Saccharomyces cerevisiae S288C: one gene and its partner. The gene in region 1 interacts genetically with each later gene. Each region holds a gene or a part of one and is shown in the gene's direction. Other genes may lie near its edges. The genes, in order: MEI4 and SPO13.

Region 1 (3,909 bases):
GACTAAAAGCGCAGAAACTGTATTCTTATTATTTTTTTTTTTTCACGGCAGCTAATTGTACTGAGTTATATTAATAGTACTGGAATAACACCAGGTAACGACTAAGGAACCAAATAAAGTATGGACTATAAGCATAATTTTGCTACAAGTCCAGATTCTTTCCTAGATGGAAGGCAGAACCCACTCTTATATACAGATTTTCTATCTTCAAACAAGGAGCTTATATACAAACAACCATCGGGTCCTGGTCTTGTGGATTCTGCCTACAATTTTCATCACCAAAACAGTTTGCATGACCGTAGCGTGCAAGAAAACCTGGGTCCAATGTTTCAACCCTTTGGCGTCGACATCAGCCATCTTCCCATTACCAACCCTCCCATTTTTCAAAGTTCTTTACCAGCGTTTGATCAGCCCGTGTACAAAAGACGCATATCTATCTCCAATGGTCAGATTAGTCAATTAGGCGAAGACTTAGAAACGGTTGAAAATCTTTACAACTGTCAGCCTCCGATCCTATCGTCTAAGGCGCAACAGAATCCCAATCCTCAACAGGTGGCAAATCCAAGCGCAGCCATATACCCAAGCTTTAGCTCGAACGAATTGCAAAACGTGCCACAACCACACGAACAAGCTACAGTCATACCCGAAGCTGCACCTCAAACAGGTAGCAAGAATATCTACGCTGCAATGACCCCGTATGATAGCAATATAAAGCTTAACATACCCGCAGTAGCAGCCACTTGTGACATTCCTTCTGCCACGCCTTCTATCCCATCTGGCGATTCCACAATGAATCAGGCTTACATCAACATGCAACTCCGATTACAAGCTCAAATGCAAACTAAGGCATGGAAAAACGCTCAATTGAATGTGCATCCATGTACTCCAGCCTCTAATTCTTCCGTTTCCTCTTCTTCTTCCTGCCAAAACATTAATGATCATAATATCGAAAATCAATCCGTCCATTCTTCAATTTCCCATGGCGTTAATCACCACACTGTTAATAATTCCTGCCAAAATGCCGAGTTGAATATTTCAAGCAGCCTTCCATACGAATCGAAATGCCCTGATGTCAATTTAACACATGCCAACTCAAAACCACAATACAAGGATGCCACTTCTGCACTGAAAAACAATATTAATAGTGAGAAAGACGTACATACCGCGCCCTTCTCCTCTATGCACACTACAGCAACCTTCCAAATAAAGCAGGAAGCTAGACCCCAAAAAATAGAGAACAATACTGCAGGCTTGAAAGACGGTGCTAAAGCTTGGAAGCGTGCAAGGCTACTAGAACGAAACAGAATTGCCGCTTCCAAGTGTCGACAGAGAAAGAAAATGTCACAATTACAACTTCAAAGGGAATTTGACCAAATAAGCAAAGAAAACACAATGATGAAGAAAAAAATTGAAAATTACGAAAAATTGGTTCAAAAAATGAAGAAAATTTCGAGGTTGCACATGCAAGAATGCACAATTAATGGTGGTAATAATAGTTATCAAAGCCTTCAAAACAAGGATAGTGATGTTAACGGGTTTCTGAAAATGATTGAAGAAATGATACGCAGCTCCAGTCTATATGATGAATAAAAGTATTGCGCATACTTCTTATGGGAGATCCAAATTCCCAGTACATTAGTTTGACTCTCCTTCCTTAATGTTTTCCTCTGTACGATTATTTATGTTTAAACGATTTATTTTACTATGTATGTATTTCCTTTCATTTTCTTTCGGAGTCATATATATTGCTGGGCGGCTAAATGTTTCCGACTTGTAAAAGAAAACATAACAAACATCTTGTAGTTGTGAAACAGTTTCATTAAATAATCTTTTAGAAGAGTAAGGACATGAGTAGAGGCAAACTGGAAGATATGGAACAAAAGGAAACATCGGAAGTTGACTGGATAATCGTACGTGAAATTGTCACATCCTTAACCTATTTTCTCTTTACTAACTTTTAGTAAGAGGTGTAATCTCCTCGAATATTATCTATGACAGTGTTTTGCTTTAATTCAATCCAGGAATCCTACGTTGTGGAAGAGGGCACTTTCAAGAAAGAAAGGAGATGTCGAAGATGTAGGTGCTCTCAAGAGTGAAAAAAATTTAAAAATAAATCCTCGGGAAAACTCAAAACATATATACAAATGGGTTGCGCCTTTCGAAAATGGATTTTTGAATAATAAATCACTGTTTGCTCATCTGGAACCTATATACAATTTCCTTTGCCAGAATAAGTACAAAAGCTTCGAAGATGCAGTTGGTTTAAAGGAGCTGCAATCATTTAGCAAAGATGTATCAACTGCTGATATAAACAACTGGTTTTTACCGAGATATAAAATTCTGCTAAAAATCCTGAGCTTAAAAACAAAAGAAATTGACTTTAGAGGGTTATCGCAAGTGTTTCAAACACTCCAAATCTTGTTAGTTTCTCATTATTCGCATCGCATAGATTCTGATTCTTCTTTTAAGAGGACACTGATAGACGTTCATGTTTTCAATTTCATCGCCAAGTTTCTGTTTAATAGAATTTTATTGAAGAAGAACCAAAACGATCCAAAATGGCTTCAAAACTTTTACGACCAGGGAGATGGCAAACATTTATGTGATAAAGTTGACTACAAGCGCTTGTGTTCGTTGCATTTTACCCTTATTTACTCTATTATTAACATTCAACTCATCAAAATCAAGACAAACCAAACATTTGAACCGCAGATATTAAAATACGTATCTGTTCTGAAATTAATTGAACACATACTTATCATCATCGAAAGTCTGATACATGTACTTATTAGATTTGTATCGAAGCATAAACTAATATGCATCAACCGGAAAAAGGCGTACTGTCGAGTATACCTCGAAAGAGAATTGAGTTTGAAGAAAACCTACTTAAAGAACTTTTACAGTGTAATAAGCGGTGTCCCAGAAAAAGAGTTAGGGGGTCTATTGAAAATACTCAAGATAGTTATTCTATCATTGCTCGAGACATTTGAAAGCATTGAATGGCAGCACTTAAAACCTTTCCTGGAAAAATTTCCGGCTCATGAAATATCGCTTCAGAAGAAAAGGAAATATATACAGGCGGCCTTATTAATTACTGCCGAAAGAAATTTGATAGCGCGCTTTCGATTGTCAAGATGGTTCAATGAGACAGAAAACATTTAATTTTTCTTTTGCAGTAGGAGGCGCATTATAAAACACAAAAATATCGAAAGCTCTTTCATTTCGGGGACAACAACTTCAGTTGAAAATTACAGTGAACACAACATCTTCCCCAACAGACCTACATTAAAACGCTTCTTCCGGACTTGCCCATGATTAACCTAATCTTATACGAACTGAATTAAACTTTACGGTATTACCGATAGGAAACTTCTATTTTATGATTTTTTCGTTCGGGGACGGAACGAACAGGAAACAAAAAAAAAGGTACGATCCATTGTATTCTCTACCCCCGTATATAAAACTAAGCTGAACAAGCCTGTTGTTTTGCTTTACTATTGCTACTATTTTTGACGTAAACGCATTGACTAATTTCAGGTTTTTATATTCTTGACACTAGCTAGACCATAGTATCGAAGGATTCAAATACACTAAAGTATCAGATAATGTTCAGCCTACAAGACGTAATAACTACAACCAAGACCACCTTGGCAGCAATGCCAAAAGGTTACTTACCAAAATGGTTACTTTTCATTTCCATTGTATCAGTCTTCAATTCTATCCAGACTTACGTTTCTGGTTTAGAATTGACACGTAAAGTCTACGAAAGAAAACCCACTGAAACAACCCATTTGAGTGCAAGAACTTTCGGTACTTGGACCTTTATTTCCTGTGTTATCAGATTCTATGGGGCTATGTACTTGAATGAACCACACATTTTCGAATTGGTCTTCATGTCTTATATGGTTG
Region 2 (3,630 bases), on another chromosome or scaffold:
CATCAGAGGTGGACAAGCCGACTAAGGAGAATCAGTCGGAGGATGACGATGCCAAGGGTGGATCAACAGGAAAGGAACAACCTGGGTCTTACACGCCTAAAGAAGGCACTGCTGGGGAACGTGAGAATGAGAATGAAAGCAACGTTAAGCCTGAAAACCAATTTAAGGAAGACGAGGTTGATATGTCAGATTCGGATATAAATGGGTCTAATTCACCAAGTTTCTGCCTCTTGGATATTCAAGGCAATACCTGCACGTTATACATTTATTTATACGTTAATGGAGAAGTGAAGGTCGATAAAGTGGTTTATGAAAAGGAATAGGGTAGCCATTTTCATTTTTATGCATTTCTATGATGTCTAAACATTAGATGCATTCGTGAACTTTTTCTTGCAGACGAGATAGATGTAATTAAGATATCCTATCTGCCGGATATTACATATATAAAAAAAGAAAGCTTGCATGCACAGTTTCCTTACTATTCATGCTCACACAATTCTACCGAATTAGCACTGCAGTGTTTAGAACCGTGCTCAAAAAGAGCTAACAGAGCTTGTGAAGAAGCCTGGATGAAAATATACTACGTTTATATAGGTTGATTTAATTATACAATGATATCATTTACGCCTTGCTTAATGATATCCTCTAGTAGATCGCTTTCTAGATCGTCTTCTAGTTTTTCCTCATTCTCTTTCAAACGGCGATGGGTGAAGTTGCTTATCTGCAACTCCTCTAATTTTAAAACCTTCTTCATGGCGTATGCATCTTCACCATCCTGATAGTAGCTTTTCTCGATACTCAACACCTCAAACGCCAATGTGTCCCTGTACAAGTGTAAAGCTGCTCTATTAGATTGTCTCACATGCAAGGAAACATATTCCGCTTGATGAACTTCTCTCAACGCAAATAAAGCTTGTCTCATTAAGTTTTCGGCAATCCCCATCCTTCTATAGGTTCTCATGACACTTAAGGAAGTAATATGACCATTTGGTGGCTCGTTTTGCTGGTCGGGGTCGTCGTTCATCTTCACGAGAACGTATCCAACTAATTTTTCGCCCGGAGCCAAGTATGTTGGATCCAACTTGATTGTCCTGCCGTCATTGGTCCCATCTAAGGTCAATTCCAATTTGTCGTTCTCATCTTGTTCATCACTATCTTCACAGTCCAAAGTGGTGGTAGTAGCAACAAACGAAGCCTCTGGCCACGAGAGAATATGATACATATAATATTTCATCATATAATTTTCGGGTAGGTTATGAAGGTTGGCATTTTGCATACATATAATGTCATTGATTGTCGCTCTGCGAATATTAATAGGCATGGTTGACGAAGTTTTATTTTGGAGCTTGATCGTATGTATTTAGGTTTCCCTTTTCACTTGGCAATTACTCGTTGCTGACAAAAGGTTTCAAACTTTTCAGACGGTGCTTTTTTTTTCTGTTCAAAAAACCAATTGACGCGAGAAAGTGAGGATTGAGCCTAGAGATCAATAAAGACAAATTAGCATTGGATGCAATACTACTAAAGCAAGCGCTTTAAGAGAAAATATTTGTCCTGGAAGTCTCATGGAGATTATACTTTATGAATTCTTTATCTCCGGGCAGAAGGCACTTCAGCGTATCATTTGTTCCATGATATTTTCTGAATAAACTTCAGAATTATAATACACAGTATTTACACATCTAATTTTTGACTACAGTATAATATTCAAGCTTCTTGATTTACCTGCAGTTATGCTTAAATTCACATTTGAATTCTTTAGTATCCGTTTAGCTAGTTAGTACCTTTGCACGGAAATGTATTAATTAGGAGTATATTGAGAAATAGCCGCCGACAAAAAGGAAGTCTCATAAAAGTGTCTAACAGACAATTAGCGCAATAAGAAGAAAGAAAACGGATTGAAGTTGAGTCGAGAATAATTATGGCACCCAGAAAACGCTTTAGGCTACTCGAATTAGGGTCACCAACACATTCTAAAAGGAAAGTTCAAAAACCTCTTCAAGAGAAGACCCCAAACTTGCGAGTTTCTCCACTTGCTTTTAAAATTGGTAAAGAAATCAAGAATAAGGAAATCAGAAAAACAAAAAAAACAGAATCAGAAAATATATTCAATTCGAAACATGTCGATTTAAGACTAGAAAGCCCACATCCAGGATTAAATTTTGTAAGTGATGCTCAACAGTACTCAAAGGCTGGAGATGTTCGATATTTGAAAAATAAATCAAGCAATACCTTGAAAAACGAAAGACAAACAATAGAGCGCCCCTCATTTGATAATTCCTTAAGGTTCGAGGACATTGAGCAGCCTCCAAAATCTACTTCAACGCCGGTTCTTTCTCAATCTTCTCAAATAAATGTAGAAAGAGAAGCACCCATGTTTCCAGTTCCTTACTATATTGCTCCTTCTCCTATGTATAATTTTAGCCCGTATCAAAATTTCGTTGGAAACCCAACGTTCCTGACGCCAAGTCATAACCCAAACCTAAACTATGCCATTCCCATCCAACGGCCGGAGTTGCTTTATCCGAATGTTAACGTATACGATTCGCCATTGTTTAAGAAAACAAGACTGCCCCATCAGACCAAAAGTCTAGATAAAGAAAAAAATTACCAATATCTTCCAATATATCCGGTCTCGATTTCTAATAACGGAGATTTTGTTGGCCAAGAGACACCAAGGGCAGCACCAAAGTTAAGTAAAAAGAGACTTTCAAATACATTGGATGTTAATTGTTCCGATTATGAGTCTAGTGGACAAAATGCAACTTATAATGATAGTGAGTCTTCCCTTAATTAAAAAGATTAGTTTACTTTTTCTGTAGAATGTTAATTAGTTTATTGCATAGAAAATCTTTAATACTGAATGACAAAATTTCCACAATTTTTTTTAAAAAAATTATCGACAACTGCAGGACTCGAACCTGCGCGGGCAAAGCCCAAAAGATTTCTAATCTTTCGCCTTAACCACTCGGCCAAGTTGCCACTTATTATATAAGTCGTAAGCATAATATCAGGATCTTATGCCTTAGTATAAGTCAATTGAAATTGCAATCCTTGTATGTTTTATATTAAATTTTGGGTGAATAATTGGATAATTGTTTGAAATCCATTGTTGAAGAAAGGCTATAATATTCGTACACAGAGTATACTAGAAGTTCTTCTCGAGGGTCTTGGAATCCACAAAAAGGCGTCGATAAATCTCCATAACTATATTACTTTATCCTATTACATTATCAATTCTTGCTTTTAGCTTCTATTGTATTTGATAAAATATTTCGGCTTCTTTTATGTGTATGCGATTGCGTATTACTAAATATAAATTTATATTTCCTGCGACCATTTGTCCGTCAGAAAAGGCTCTCAAAAAAACAACACTACCCTTTTACCGGAAATCACAAACTAAATGTTAAAATAAGAATTTAACATCATCCATTGATTATGAATATTGAGTGAATGATTTAATGATTGTTGCGATTTCCTTGTTGGTGAAGGCTATGATATCAGCTATGCAGAATATACTAGTAGTTATCCACCAGAACATAAGAATCCTCAAAATGTAATTAAAAATCCACTATCGTCTATCAACCAATAATTATACTATCAATATATTATCATATACGGTGTTAGATG

Evidence for each region.
Region 2: of MEI4 (region 1) and SPO13, a mutation in one rescues a mutant of the other (synthetic rescue), as found in Saccharomyces cerevisiae (2 studies listed by BioGRID).

What each region holds. Positions count from the first base shown.
Region 1 is NC_001137.3:237,713-241,621, reverse strand, and holds MEI4 (Mei4p), read left to right. Parts: upstream 1-1,847; coding exon 1,848-1,910; intron 1,911-1,998; coding exon 1,999-3,162; downstream 3,163-3,909. Other genes in the region: ACA1 (Aca1p), read left to right, coding at 121-1,590; ERG28 (Erg28p), read left to right, coding at 3,606-3,909. UniProt on the Saccharomyces cerevisiae protein: Required for meiotic induction of recombination, viable spore production and chromosome synapsis. Component of the MER2-MEI4-REC114 complex which seems to be required for meiotic double-strand break (DSB) formation.
Region 2 is NC_001140.6:130,126-133,755, forward strand, and holds SPO13 (Spo13p), read left to right. Parts: upstream 1-1,921; coding exon 1,922-2,797; downstream 2,798-3,630. Other genes in the region: retromer subunit VPS29, read left to right, coding at 1-323; peptide alpha-N-acetyltransferase complex A subunit ARD1, read right to left, coding at 605-1,321. UniProt on the Saccharomyces cerevisiae protein: Required for meiosis I segmentation. Probably acts as a regulator of kinetochore function during meiosis I: required both for mono-orientation of kinetochores on sister chromosomes and protection of centromeric cohesin from separase-mediated cleavage.